Saccharomyces cerevisiae S288C: one gene and its partner. The protein of the gene in region 2 binds, or shares a complex with, the protein of the main gene of each other region. Each region holds a gene or a part of one and is shown on either strand. Other genes may lie near its edges. A codon is read from its position in the direction of its gene.

Region 1 (7,604 bases), on a different chromosome or scaffold from region 2:
TTCATAAATTTTTATGGAAGAAATACGGGAAAGGATTGGTTTACTGTTATGGGTGTGATCCAACTGGAAAAAAGAGGCATACAGAGTGGTTCAATGTGCCTGTATTGGAGCTACCATCAGTACTAAGACTTATTGATTCTTATTGCCTTGGAGGAGAATCTCGTTAGACTTAAAAAAAATTTTTTGGCCTATTCTGGCCGGTTTATTCAAATTATTTATCATCATAAAAATTGTAGTGTTACCTTTCTTTTCCTTGAATTATTTATAGAAATATATGTGCTTAGCAATTTTATCACTGTTACTTCGATTTGTAGTACCCTTAAGTAAAAGAGCTTTTGAAACCAGTTATCAAAAGAATATCACCAATTGATCTTTTGCTTTCGAGAATTGTATCACCATATCTTCCCTCAAGTAGACAGTGGACGAGATGTTTCGAGATACTCGGGGAAAGTCTCTTCCAATGTGCTTCACTTTCAAAACTGGGTAAATATGCAATCAGCGTTTTTACATTCAAATTACTATCTTTCAATTTAAGCTCTGAGGTTATTCCATCGTGGAAAGAGTTTATACCACATTTCGATGTAATAAAATGTGTTCCTGATTTGCACGGTTTTAACGTCAATACCGATGATATGTTGACAATATAGAACCCCTTTGCTTTTTCTTGAGCTTCAGCTTGAACCTTTGGAAAAATGTTACTCAAGCAGAACTTAGTTATCAATATTACACTTTGTAAATTATACCTCACGATTTTCTCGAATTCATTTAAAGACTCTTCATCAAGTCTCAAAAATTTGTCTTCTTTGAGAAGAGTCGATTCGATTCCCTCCTGCATGTTGTTAATGAGCACTGTAGGAATTATTTCTAAATTTTGAAGGTAAAGCATGGATTCCTCAAGACATTTTATGTCACTGAAATCTTTGCAAGAAATAAAAGTATACAGTTTTTCACTTCTCCTTGCGTTTTTTCCATTAATACTGTCTATAGTGTCAATATTTATAACCTTTGTATGATAATCTTCTATAAATGTCTCGCAGAGCTCGATGCCTAACTCATTTGAAGAACCGCCAATAATTAATACTGTATCGTGGCTAGGATGGAACTTTTTACCTAAACCGACATATTGATAAAAACTTACGAGGACTTTGTAAATTGTTTTCTTCATGTCAGATTTTTGGGCTCTATTACTAGTGGACCTGTGCTTCGGACATACGCAGTTTTTCTGTGGTTTCTTTATACGTCACAAATCTGTATTATTATTGAGTCACTAATTCAAATGCGTGTGACAATATAGCGACGGGGCCGTGCAAAAATAAGAGATACTGCACTTGCGCGGCTGATAGAGATTTCTTTCTTTCTACGCTGGGATAGTTTTCTTAGAAGGTTTTAGCTATTCTAATTAAAATGTTGTTCCCACCAGTATTTATTGGCACCTTGGACAATTTTAAAAATCACTGCTAAAACGGTGCTATGACACGATTTTCTGGTACTAAAACGTGTTTTATGAAATTAACAGTATATACAAAAAGTAAAAGGTATGGATAGTTAAATATGTGTAAAGCTATAATACAAAGAAATAACACAAGATAGTTGAGTTTATTTGGTCAAACTAAAAAGAGGAAATAATTATAGTGAATAATTCCAGATTTTGTTAAACACCAATTCAAACAAACTGAAAACAGGGAGAAACCAACCCAAAAAATAAAATAGATTCAGTGATAACCCAATTCTACCGCAAAAAAAAACTAAAAAAATAAATAATAGAAAATTAACAGATACAAAAACGAAAAAACAAACTGTTTACAAAACATTTACATGCGTGTTCATTAAGCTGTCGAAGGATATTATTTCTTTGATTTATTTTTTTTTTTGAATAGGCCAAATCTCTTCTTCTTACCACCATTTTTCTCCTCATTGTCACCATTATCGGTACTAGGCGAAGCCATATTCGCCATTTGACTTGATGAGGACAAGGTTGGAGTGCTTGGGGCTGAAACAGAGGTTGTAGGAGGGGGTGCAATATTTTTGGGATCGTTTATATCCACAGTGCTACTTGTATTGTTGTTTGTATTTGTAAATTGCATTGCGTTATGAACTACCGAGTTGGTGGAAATATCAGGGTTGCTACTACTGTTATTAACTTTGTTGTTATTATTTGTAACTTCTATCATGGTACTGGAGCTAAATTGCCTTTGTGTGGGAACGTGATTGTTTAAACTAGGAGCAGGGACTTGGTTAAAAGTATTGTTTGGGTTGGTGGCATGTGGCATATTCAGTTTGTTTTTCGATTGTTGTGATCTCAATCTATTCTGGTTTACGATGCTATGCGTTGGCATGGAATTTAAGCGAGTTTGACTTGAATTGTTCGGTGGTCTGCCAAAATCACTCATATTTATACTGGAAGGATTACCAATATTAGGCATATTACTATTTCTATTCTTCCTACTTGTGGGCTTGATAGAGTGTGAGTGAAAAGGTTGTACTTGTACCGATTGTTGTGGCTGCTGTAGGGGTAAGGAAGGAGGTTGTTGCGGGTCATATGCAGCGATACTTGAAGAAATTGGGTCTACAAAATTTCCGGCGGATGCAGGTTGAGACATAGCGCCATTGGTGCCATGCATTCCTCTGCTGTTAGAACGAACGTTTGCAGACTGCTGTAATTGAGGGAAGGAAGGCTTTCTTGGAATTGAATTATTGCTATTATTAAATCTTTGTTGCTGTAATGCTCTTTTCTGGAACTCCAGTTCACGTTCTTGTAGCTCTAATTCCTTTTTACGGAGTTGCAATTCGCGTTCTTGTAGTAATTTGTCATTCGTGCCATTATTCTCTCCGAAAGTTTGTGAATGTGAGGATAATGGTGAGTTCATTTGTGGCTGAGAGCTTACAACAGGTGGTGGAGATCTCACTGGAGAGTCTCCGTAGTTTACACTATATAGTGCCATATCTTCGATGTCCCTCAAATTCGGAGTTCCTGTTGCTTTATATTCATTTGTATCGGATTGGTTTGTTGCTTCAGTTGGCGTTAGTGCTTCAATTGATGTTTGAGCTTGAGATTGGGCTTGAGCTTGGGCTTGGGCCTGGGCTTTTAGAGCGACTTGATGTTTCTCCTTTAACTCATTAGTTTCCATTTCATGTTGCTTGGCCTGCATAAGCAACTCTTGTCTTAGTTTACTAATTTGACCTTGTAAGGAGGTAATTTGAGTCTGTAAAGCAGATTCATTTTTTTGTGATTTTTGCAAGCTTTGTAAGATTTGAGTTTTTTCATCTGACCTAATAAACCATTTAGATTTGCCACTATTCAATCTTTCAAATTGGGACAAAACAGAGTATAAAAATTCTAAGTACGGAGTTTTGATACCAAAGTCATCGGCTAATAAAATAGTTTGTAACAACAGGATATCGATGTTCAAAGGCGTTGTTTGATGAATGAAATGATAAACCAATGCAGGTGGCTTATTGGTTGAATGATAAGAATTCTTCCATAGAGATAAAAGAGAGTTTTCATTATCATGACTACTGTTTAGTCTGGCTCCCATTGTTTTTGCTACAGTGATGATTTCAGTTACCAGACCTGATATTAAAGGTTTGGCAATGATCTGCTGGTCTAGATCACTTGGGTTTTCTTGTTCAAACATGATTAACAACGGATCAAAACAAATTCTGGAAATCGCCAGCTTCCATTGTTGTGATAGAAACTCAATTGATGAGAAATTGCACAAATTGATTTTTATGTTGGAAAACAATTTAGCAAACAGTTTTTCAAAAGTGGTTAATAATGTTATAACGCCTGATGAATATTTCTCAGTGCTGGACTTACTTTCGCCGAGGTAAATCGTGTTCTCCTTTGCAGTACTAGGAAAGTGTTTGAAATGGTTTGGACCGATTTGACGAATATCCAAATCAGTCAAAATACTGAAAACGTTTACATGCGGAGATTCCATCGATAATTTGACAAACGGTTCCAATTGGATGAAACCACTGCTTTCTAAGAAAATTTTGGTGTTCGAATCGATTATGGACGTTAACTTGGACGCTAACGAGGATAATTCCTGTAAAGATGGAGCACTCATGATGATTATGTCGAAGACGGCTTCACTTGATTTGGAGCTCAAAGCTTCAGTCAAGTGCTCGATAGAGGTGAAATGATTTTCCAATTCGAACCGGTCTTTGCCGTAGTATTCAGTTTCAATTTCAAATTGACATGATTTTGAATCGTTGACGTGGTAGAGGTCTATATTCTTGGCCAGTTGAAACCTTGAGGTGTAGAACAAGATATTCGGGTTGTTCCCAATAGCTAAAACTCGAAGTGAGGAAGACGACATAACTATAACGTGTGTGAGGGCGAGCAAAGCAATTAAACGAAATTGATCTTATTGGTGAGCGTCAGACTGCTGGAGTTGTGTGTTATAAAATGAAAGAAAAAAAAAAGGAAGTAAAACCAGGGAACGAACCGATAACTATTTCTCCCCTTTCTGTTTGTTCTTGGTTTTGCTTGCTTTGTTCTGATCAAGACCAAAAATAGCTGGGTGGCTACGAATAAGAAGGCCAAGATTAGAAGTGTGTTACTCTCACTAATTGACTGTTTAAAAATAAATAAACAAACAGGTTCAAAGAAACGAGAATAAACAAACAACGAACGCCAACGGAAAGAACCGACGTTGTGTTTGCGTTTACGTTCTGCTCTCTCACTTGACACAACACGAAGACCGAAAACAGCTTGGGAAGCATTCACCGATCGTTATTCGAGAGGTTTCCAGTTTCCTTTTTTTTTTTTTTCACTCGCGGTATAAACGAATGAAAAAAAATAAAAAATTTTCATGTTTTTCCGTTCCGGAAGACAAAGCCTGTCCGCCTTTAAGGCGGTAAAAGCCGTCGTAAAGGCTGTCGTAAGATGAGACTAAAGTAATAGTAGTGTATTATAGATGATTATTATCATTATATATACATGGCTACGGTTTTTCGCTGACGGGCTGCGTTATGAAGCGTGGTGGTAGTACTCTGCAAACCAAGGGTGATGCAGAGCCTGCTTGGCGCTCAGCCTCATATCCGGATTAAGTTGCAAGAGTCCGTGTAAGAAATCCATGAGATTCCCGTCTAGCGGTTCTTTGGTGTGTGGTTGCAATACTTGACGTAGGTCTCTTGGTGGTCGTTGCTGGATATTTGGGTTGTATTTGGGTAACTTTGTTACACTGGGCCATAGGGACTCATTAGGAGTGCCCATGATGTCGAAGATCAATTTCAGTTGTTCTTCGTCGTTGGTGCCAGGAAACAAAGGCTTACCCGTTATCATTTCCGCAAGAATGCACCCACACGACCATATATCAATGGATGTGGAGTACGTCCTAGAACCCATTAGCACATCAGGAGCACGGTACCACAACGTTACGACTTCGCTTGAAAATGTGTTGACCGGAATACCGAAAGCACGGGCCAGACCGAAATCACCCAATTTCAACTGGCCTCTCTTGTTGATTAATAGGTTTTGAGGTTTTAAATCACGGTGGAGAATCTTGTTTTCATGGCAAAAGGCCAGCCCTTGCAGTAGTTGCCACTGGAAGTATTTAACCAAGTTTAGTTCTAGCCCTCTTGGTGTGTTGCCCACGGTGCGGGAATCCATGTATTTCTTTAAATCGTTGTCCATGAATTCAAAAACCAAAGTCAACTTGTTCTCTGTGTGAATAACGTCATAAAGTCTAACAATGTTCTCATGTTTCAATTCTTTCATTAGGGAGATCTCACGGATGGCCGTAGAGGGTGTACCTTCCTCTGAATCCAGTTTTACCTCTTTCAGGGCAACATATACCCCTGTGGTTTTGTTCAGTCCCTTGTACACTGTGGCATACGTACCATTGCCAAGCTTTTCTAACTGCTTAAATCTGTTCATAGAGCTCGAGGTTGATTTTTTCTCGTATATATGTTAGTATTCATCATTTCTAGTTCTTTACTTTCCAATGATACTTGACTAGAAAACTACATACTGTGAAGAAGAAGACATTGGTATTGCTCAAGTTTGCCCAGTTTGCCGCGCTATATATCCCTTATCTGCAATTATACGCTATATGGTAAAACTGGATTCCCTTTGTTATCTTTCAATTAGAAAGCTACGGGCTTACGAGTCTACGTGTATGGTGATTTGTACGGAAAATGAACTGCACACAGAGGACAAGCAAAGGGTCTAGGATAGATAGAAGTAGCGCATCCGGCCTGTCTATCCCTCCGTGTCTATCAATTCATTTAACGTGTCTGGACGGACTATGGTAACTACTTTTTGCGTTTTTGCACCTTCTTCCTGTTTTTTTGGTTTTAGTAGTGCACTTATTCTTCACTTTTTTGCTCTGCATTGTTAAAAATTTCATTTTTTGCATTTTGGAAAACCCGATGACATTATTCTTTGAAATAAACCATATCATTTAGAAAATGCGATTTCCATTACGCAAGATAGACAACGCATTTGGTCCGATTATATTGCTATCTTGTGATACTTCTCCTTTCTCTCAACAATGACTGGCGACGGTAGTGCACATATTTCTAAAAACAATCAAAATCAACACAAAGATCGCTTCAAGTTTATTGTGAATGATAAAAGTATTCTAGGACCTCAATGGTTAAGCCTTTACCAAACGGATGGGAAAGTAACATTCGCAAAGTCCCACTTCGAGCAAGCAATGATGAACGTTATTAGAGAACCAAATATTAACTCTACTGTCATATTAAGAGCGGATATTTTGAAAGAGATCAATCATGCTGCAGAAGCTGGGTCTGAGCCAAAATTTGACGAGTCCGTATTAAAAAAGTTTGAGATCGATAATGGTAATGAAAGCGGTGAAGAAGATGTCAAGAAGATAAATATTGAAGATTTAAACATAAGGTCGTGTGAAACATCTGAGAGTTTAAAATTGTCACCCGTTCATGAATTTGTAAGAAGGATCATTCCTAGGAATTTTTACAAAGATGCTATCATAAACCAAACATGTTTAATCCTAAATAGCAAAGACCCTAATTTTCAGGAGACCTCATTGATTGTATATACGCCGCACATTAACTCTGAGAAAGACTGTCCGTTTTATATTCCAAGAACGCAAAGTGTAGGCATTTTGTTACACCAGTCAGTTCTTTCTGTACACTACATTCCCTTCCCCGAGGATAAAACTGCCTTTACAGATGAATCTGAGCGTGTTGTAAGAACCGCTTATAGGTTATTACAAACTGCTAACAAACACTCAAAGGGTGTGATGCAGGGTTATGAAAAGAGGGTCAATCACGATCAAGTGGTAAATAAAGTCAATTTTCAGAACACATACATTGTTTTGAAGAAAAAATACTCCAAGTTCCTGGTGGAGAATTGGGCAGAGTCTACAGACCCAAAAAAACATGTTTTTGAAGACATAGCCATTGCCGCTTTCCTGATTGAATTATGGATTAAAGTGTACGGTCCAGACTTCCGTTCAAAAATGCAATTTAGAGATTTGGGATGCGGCAATGGTGCTCTTTGTTATATTTTACTGAGTGAAAGTATTAAAGGTCTCGGCATAGATGCAAGGAAGCGCAAATCGTGGTCTATCTACCCGCCTGAAGTGCAATCATCGTTAAAGGAGCAAGTTATA
Region 2 (7,523 bases):
GACTGGGAATACTGAATCTTCAGACAAGGGGGCTAAGATTCAATAAGTAGTTTTAACTAGATTTAGAACAAAAATCTTTAGTACGACAGGGTCTTTCTTCTGATGTGTACCTTTAATTAATGTCAACGATATAACATTGTAATTTTAAAATTCTAAGTGTTTTTGAAGCTTTTTAAGACACATCGATCTTTCCATAAAGGAAGAAGTGATAACATGCAGTGGTTATATTTGTGTACTCATACACTGGTGCATGAATCTTTTTACACGTCATTAGCATAGTATGTAATCGAAAGGACACTATTTATAAGGGACAGTTTATACATACATATACTTGATATTCCCATGAATGAGTATTCTATTCCATATCAACATCCACTCCAAAATCGTCTAGTGATTCACCCCAGTCGTTGTACCACTTCTCACGAGAAGCATGTCTGCCATTTTGAGGAAGTCTGGTCCTTATTAGCTGTTCGCCACTTTCATTACGCATCTCTATTGTTGAGCTGCCATGATTGAAGACGGTGTTTGTTTTACCTCCATCTGGTGGCCAGGGAAGTGAAAGGATGTGGTCTTCCAATGAGGAGTTAGCCTCATATTTTGAAATACCGTTTTTTGGAAAATTGTTCCCATCTCCCGTAGGAACACCATATGGCCATAACCATAAATGAATGGGACCAAGGTACAGTAATGCATTAGTGTACAAATCAAAATCGTAAGGGAAATTTACAAGTTCATCAAAACGTGGCCTTTTTTTTGTCAAGTGTTCCTCAGCATCCTTTTTATTTTGAAACGACCTCGACTCTGGATATATTCTCCAAGTATTATCAATTAATTTCTGAGTTAATCTTCCGGAGTTGAACAAAGATTCTAGCCGATCCATATCCCACGACTCAATTTGAGATCTTCCATTCAAGATTTGATTGAATAAACATCGTAGGAAAAGAATTGTTATCGTTAGTAGGACAAAAGAATTTAAAGGACTCGATATTGTTAAGAAAATCAGTTCTGATTTTTTGAAGAAGTAGCCAGGCAAGTGCCTTTGTTGCCAAATAAAATATATCCGCTTAGCTTGTATGCAAAATAAAACACTAGTCGTCACTATGATCCAAAATAAGAATCTAAGGAAATGCGGATAGTTTGCAAAGCCGACGCAATTCATCGTCCACGGACAATGATGATCCATCATTAGGACGCATTGATTGCAGGTTTTACAATGATGTGAACGTTCTGGCTTATAACTTTGGCACTTCTTACAGAAATTCCGCCAGATATCAGGGGGTGGTTTGTAGTTGGGCAAAGGCCTTCCTGGATTTGTGCAGATGGCCAAGTAATAGGAGAGCCATATCATTGACAAACAGAACTCAAATGTTATTTGTTTCGGAACTGACAAGAAATTGGATAAAATAAAGTAGTGTGCACCATAGCCTATAAATGAAATCAGAAACGTTGGTATAGCAATTCCTAACCAAGGCCACCTTAACTTTACTGGCATGGTTTAACGATCAACTCAGTTTTTAAAATTCATGTTATACACCATCACCACAATGTAGGGACGATAATTATCGTATCTCAGATCCGCTATTTTTCATAAGCGCGTAGTAAGAGAGGTAGGTTTAACAGGATAATAAAAATATACATGAGACAGCCAATAAATAGTGGAAATAAGCCGTATTTTAAATTGAGAGCTCTTAGTAAGAAAAATGTTCCTCTGAGACGCTAAAGTCGTGTATATTTCATATGAGAAAGTGCACAAATCCTGCTTCCCTTCTATCTGGGAATTTCTTTTCTATATTTGAACATATTATTGTAAGGGCCTTTTTCTTTATTCTCTTCTCACATATAAGAACCATTTTATTATTTTAACTTTAAAACTACTTTCTATATAAATCCTACGTTTTTTCCAAATATCTAGGAGACAATCCCGTTCTCCATCTTTATATGGACTAACTCATAACTATTTAATAAACCTCTCAAGTGGCACAATGCCGCAATAACAACTAGAAAATGGAAAAGTTGGTGAGAATGACCCCAAATATCAAATTTACCGGGGCAAATCTTTTCAGGAAACCGCATTCCATAAAGAACAGCGCCAATTATATATAGGACACCCCCAAGTAATACCCAAAAGAGCTGAATTTGGGTCCAAATTTCTGAAAAACTATAGCAGTAAAGGCCGCTGAATATTGGAATAATTGAGGATAAACCAAAACAAACAAATAGCCCAGCTCTGTAAGGTCTCCACTCTCTTTTCCGAAACTTATCTTTTAGTGACACAATACTACACGCGATCCCAAAGCTAACGGTAATAAGCGCAAATAGGCAAAATAGGGAAAATTTCTCAAAATAGCCGTAGTACAAAATACTGACCATTGACGTAACAATCAATATACAAATACCAAGGTAGTCCAACTTATTTCCTAAGGTAGCAATTCTTAAGGAGTGACTCTTTAGACAATGAAAGGAGCTACTCAATATTAAACATGCAAACGCCCCCGAATAAAAGAGGTCGATTACCATATGATCTAGCCATGTAGTTGTTGCAAACACTTTGATAGTAGATTTATCTAGCAACAGTACAGTGAAGAACCCGAGAGCAGGAATTAAATGTGAATAAATATTGACACTTTCATTATGCAAATAAAACAAACTTTTAAAAGTTTCAATGAAGCTACTAGTTTCTTTCACGTATCCATGTAAAATAAAATCATTGTCTCTTTGCCATTCCGGAATTTCATCCCAACTATATAGCCTTCTTAGTACTTTTTTAGCTTTAGCGACCTCTGCGGGATTTGCGGATGTTTTCCCTGCAGCTCTCTTCTTCAGCTCTTGCACACTCTTAGTCCTTTCTAATAAAGTTGACATTTGGAATGATTCTTCTCCAACATGCAGCATAATTAAAACGACGGGAAATTTAGTACATTTGGCTCAAGGAACGCTGACATAAATACTATTTCTAATCTACTATTCGAAGAGATGTTGGATTTCTAAAAAAAAAAGAGCTCAACAACGGAAGACCGCCTATTAACCCCGAGTGTCTGTTTTTTAGTATACTCGAAGCAAACAAGAAAAGTTTGTTACTTAATTTCTGGCCTAAACAAGGTAGTGCTACCCTAGAGGAAGTACGATATCAGTACACTTTTGTATTTTTAACGAATTATGGTATTCTTTAAAATATTTAACATGCTATCGAGTTTTTCTTTCTAAAATGCGGTTTCAAAATTTGAGTCCGCTTTCTATGGAAAATATGAATGAGGCGAACGTGCTTGTACCATAGTCAGATTTTAACCCGTAGGTGAGAGCCTGAGGCTTCTGTAAACCACCTTGGAAACACATACGGGTTATAAGATTTTAACAAACAATCAGTCTCCATACTCATCCTAGGATCTCTTCTTCATTTGATGAATAAAGGATTCAAACTTCAGAAAGTTATTCAGCGTATATTGGCTTTCCTTTAATCTAATGCCCCAAGCCATCATAAATAGCCATATTACTTTGAAAGTGCTCATCCGTATACACTGCAACTTTTCTTCTTTTCTCTTTAGCCGATTATAGCTCCTACCTGTTTTTTTTTTCTTCTTAAGATTATTTATATTCCAATTTTATCATCCGTATTGTTTCCAATAGCGTTCCAGTGATCAGTTATATACTTCGAGAGGCAGATAACCTTTCTTTTTATAAGTGTTTATCAAATTTAAGTCTGCAAGCTATCATAAGACGAGGATATCCTTTGGAGACTCATAGAAATCATGGAAAGCACATCAGGAGAACGTTCCGAAAATATACATGAGGATCAAGGGATACCAAAAGTAATTCTGCCCGCTGATTTTAATAAATGCTCTAGAACTGACCTAGTGGTGCTCATATCACGAATGTTAGTATCGCTGATAGCAATCAATGAAAATTCAGCAACAAAGAAATCTGATGACCAAATTACTTTAACACGATACCATTCTAAGATTCCTCCAAACATATCAATCTTCAACTATTTCATACGACTGACAAAGTTTTCCTCTTTAGAACATTGTGTGCTTATGACATCACTCTATTATATCGATTTATTGCAAACTGTGTATCCTGATTTTACGCTTAATTCGTTGACTGCCCATAGGTTTTTATTAACAGCCACCACAGTCGCAACAAAAGGCTTATGTGATTCGTTCTCAACAAACGCCCATTATGCAAAAGTTGGAGGAGTACGATGTCACGAATTGAATATACTGGAGAACGATTTTTTAAAGAGAGTAAACTACAGAATCATTCCGCGGGATCATAACATTACGTTATGTAGTATAGAGCAAAAACAGAAAAAGTTTGTCATAGATAAAAACGCATTAGGGTCTCTCGATTTGGATTCTTATTCTTACGTTAATCGTCCAAAAAGTGGATATAATGTTCTAGATAAATACTATCGAAGAATAGTTCAGCTGGTGGGTTCCTTTAACGCTTCACCTGATAAGAGTAGAAAGGTTGATTATGTTCTCCCGCCAAATATTGATATAGTGAGTGAAAGTGGCTCCCAAACTACTCAACTAAAGGGGTCGTCATCACCCAATTCTCACTCTTCACAAAAGCGATATTCTGAGGCAAAGGACGCACATATCTATAACAAGCGATCAAAGCCAGATTAATGATTTTTCGTGGGGTATTATGAAAGCAATCATGATTGAGCAAAATTAAAACTTTCCATTTGTACATATATATATATATATATATATATATCTGTGTGTGTATAATAAGCAATTGGCCATCATTTGGCTAAAAAGTTCAAGATTTCAGGTAGTATATAAGAGAATAACTTCCCTCTTTTGCTAAAGAAGGATATGTTCTATTTCAGCCTTTTTGCATCATAAGAGCATAAGCGACAGAAAACACTTCGAGATGAGCTTGAGAACTCCATTTCAATTAACTTGATAAATACATGTAGATTCATATCATCACTGTTCTTTTCAGATACTAGTTTCAAAACTTCCTTGACAGAACCATTTCATGTTCAATAATGAAAATTACTTTCACATGTTTTAGTGGAAAAATACTGAACAATGAAATTTCAATATCGCATATAATAATTTTTGTTATCAAATATATATTTTTCGGAAGTCATATACATTAAATAATTAAAACATTATTTTTAAAAATTAAAAAAATATATTTTAGCAAATAGTTTTTACTTTTTTTTAAATGCAAAATAAGTTCACGTGATATTATTAATAATATTTTACCCAAAAATATGAGGGCATCGGAAAATTTTTCAGTAATGAATATTAATGTTCATCTGAAGATAGACGAAATAGGAACAACAAACAGCTTATAAGCACCCAATAAGTGCGTTATGACTTCTGAAAATCCGGATGTACTTTTATCTAGGGTGATAAATGTGGTGAGAGCAGCATCATCGTTAGCCAGTCAAGATGTAGACTTTTACAAGAATTTAGACAGGGGATTTAGTAAAGATCTGAAATCAAAAGCAGACAAACTTGCGGATATGGCGAATGAAATAATCCTCTCTATTGATGAGCATCATGAATCATTTGAACTTAAAGAAGAGGACATTTCTGACTTGTGGAACAACTTTGGAAACATCATGGATAATTTGTTAGAAATGTCAGACCATTCGCTGGATAAGCTGAATTGTGCAATAAACTCAAAGTCAAGAGGTTCCGATCTTCAGTATTTAGGCGAATTTTCAGGAAAGAATTTTTCTCCCACCAAAAGAGTCGAAAAACCTCAGTTGAAATTTAAAAGTCCAATTGATAACAGCGAAAGTCATCCGTTCATACCTTTATTGAAGGAAAAACCAAATGCTTTGAAGCCACTCTCTGAGAGTTTGAGGTTGGTTGATGATGATGAAAATAACCCCAGTCACTACCCCCATCCTTATGAATATGAGATTGATCATCAAGAGTATAGTCCAGAAATTCTCCAAATTAGAGAGGAGATTCCCTCAAAATCCTGGGATGATTCGGTACCAATTTGGGTAGATACAAGTACAGAACTCGAATCAATGTTGGAGGACTTGAAAAATACGAAAGAGATTGCCGTTGATCTTGAGCATCACGATTATAGGTCATACTATGGTATTGTTTGCCTCATGCAAATTAGTACAAGGGAAAGGGATTATTTAGTTGATACTCTAAAACTTCGCGAAAATTTACATATTCTGAACGAAGTGTTTACGAACCCTTCAATTGTGAAAGTTTTTCACGGTGCATTCATGGATATTATTTGGCTTCAGCGAGATTTAGGTTTGTATGTCGTTGGTCTCTTCGATACTTACCATGCGTCTAAAGCAATCGGTCTTCCTAGACATAGTTTGGCCTATCTTTTGGAGAATTTTGCCAATTTTAAAACTTCAAAGAAATATCAGTTGGCTGACTGGCGTATAAGACCGCTTTCAAAACCCATGACGGCATATGCTAGAGCAGATACTCACTTTTTACTAAATATATATGACCAGTTGAGAAACAAACTTATCGAGTCTAATAAGTTAGCAGGTGTTCTTTATGAATCAAGAAATGTCGCAAAAAGAAGGTTTGAATATTCAAAGTACAGACCACTGACACCTTCTTCAGAAGTTTATTCTCCAATCGAAAAAGAGAGTCCTTGGAAAATATTGATGTATCAGTACAACATACCACCTGAGAGGGAAGTATTAGTAAGAGAGCTATACCAATGGAGAGATCTTATTGCAAGAAGAGACGATGAATCGCCACGATTTGTTATGCCAAACCAGTTATTGGCTGCACTTGTCGCATATACACCTACTGATGTCATAGGTGTTGTTTCTTTGACCAATGGCGTAACTGAACATGTCCGCCAGAATGCAAAACTATTAGCTAATTTGATAAGAGATGCATTACGAAACATCAAGAACACCAATGAGGAAGCTACTCCCATTCCATCTTCCGAGACCAAAGCAGACGGAATATTGTTGGAGACTATAAGTGTTCCTCAAATCCGTGATGTTATGGAAAGGTTTTCGGTGTTGTGCAACAGCAATATTTCCAAGAGCCGAGCCAAGCCTGTCACTAATTCTTCTATTCTGTTGGGTAAGATTTTACCACGTGAGGAGCATGATATTGCATATAGCAAAGACGGCTTGCCAAATAAAGTGAAGACGGAAGATATCAGGATCCGAGCACAAAATTTCAAGTCTGCCTTAGCAAACTTGGAGGATATCATATTCGAAATAGAGAAACCTCTCGTTGTTCCTGTCAAGCTAGAGGAGATTAAGACAGTAGACCCTGCGAGCGCACCTAATCACTCGCCTGAGATTGATAATCTTGATGATCTTGTTGTTTTAAAGAAGAAAAACATTCAAAAGAAACAACCAGCAAAGGAAAAAGGTGTAACGGAAAAAGATGCTGTGGATTATTCAAAAATTCCGAATATCTTATCTAATAAGCCTGGCCAAAATAATAGACAACAAAAGAAAAGGAGATTCGACCCATCATCTAGCGATAGTAATGGACCAAGGGCAGCTAAAAAGAGGAGGCCTGCCGCCAAAGGTAAGAATCTGTCATTTA

What was found.
Region 1: the proteins of PHO80 (region 2) and PHO85 are in contact, whole or in part, in a crystal structure (PDB 2PK9), measured with the Saccharomyces cerevisiae proteins. Residues at the interface, in NP_014642.1 of Saccharomyces cerevisiae: Asn28 (codon at 3,828), Glu91 (codon at 4,017), Cys93 (codon at 4,023), Thr131 (codon at 4,137), Lys132 (codon at 4,140), Gly133 (codon at 4,143), Leu134 (codon at 4,146), Cys135 (codon at 4,149), Asp136 (codon at 4,152), Ser137 (codon at 4,155), Phe138 (codon at 4,158), Thr140 (codon at 4,164), Asn141 (codon at 4,167), Ala142 (codon at 4,170), Cys152 (codon at 4,200), Asn156 (codon at 4,212), Glu159 (codon at 4,221), Asn160 (codon at 4,224), Leu163 (codon at 4,233), Lys164 (codon at 4,236), Asn167 (codon at 4,245), Tyr168 (codon at 4,248), Arg169 (codon at 4,251), Ile170 (codon at 4,254), Ile171 (codon at 4,257), Pro172 (codon at 4,260), Arg173 (codon at 4,263), Glu183 (codon at 4,293), Tyr206 (codon at 4,362), Lys211 (codon at 4,377); in NP_015294.1 of Saccharomyces cerevisiae: Ser42 (codon at 5,770), Glu43 (codon at 5,767), Glu44 (codon at 5,764), Gly45 (codon at 5,761), Thr46 (codon at 5,758), Pro47 (codon at 5,755), Ser48 (codon at 5,752), Ile51 (codon at 5,743), Arg52 (codon at 5,740), Ile54 (codon at 5,734), Ser55 (codon at 5,731), Leu56 (codon at 5,728), Lys58 (codon at 5,722), Glu59 (codon at 5,719), Val71 (codon at 5,683), His73 (codon at 5,677), Leu78 (codon at 5,662), Glu126 (codon at 5,518), Asn127 (codon at 5,515), Lys128 (codon at 5,512), Ile129 (codon at 5,509), Arg132 (codon at 5,500), Arg156 (codon at 5,428), Ala157 (codon at 5,425), Gly159 (codon at 5,419), Ile160 (codon at 5,416), Pro161 (codon at 5,413), Val162 (codon at 5,410), Asn163 (codon at 5,407), Thr164 (codon at 5,404).

The regions. Positions count from the first base shown.
Region 1 is NC_001148.4:487,043-494,646, forward strand, and holds PHO85 (cyclin-dependent serine/threonine-protein kinase PHO85), read right to left. Parts: upstream 5,996-7,604; coding exon 5,979-5,995; intron 5,877-5,978; coding exon 4,976-5,876; downstream 1-4,975. Other genes in the region: YPL034W (uncharacterized protein), read left to right, coding at 1-167; SRL4 (Srl4p), read right to left, coding at 320-1,165; SVL3 (Svl3p), read right to left, coding at 1,845-4,322; TRM44 (tRNA (uracil) methyltransferase), read left to right, coding at 6,501-7,604.
Region 2 is NC_001147.6:321,503-329,025, forward strand, and holds PHO80 (Pho80p), read left to right. Parts: upstream 1-3,746; coding exon 3,747-4,628; downstream 4,629-7,523. Other genes in the region: transcriptional regulator SIN3, read left to right, coding at 1-46; palmitoyltransferase PFA4, read right to left, coding at 356-1,492; IZH2 (PAQR-type receptor), read right to left, coding at 1,909-2,862; exosome nuclease subunit RRP6, read left to right, coding at 5,330-7,523. UniProt on the Saccharomyces cerevisiae protein: Cyclin partner of the cyclin-dependent kinase (CDK) PHO85. Negatively regulates the expression of phosphate-starvation-responsive genes under phosphate-rich conditions.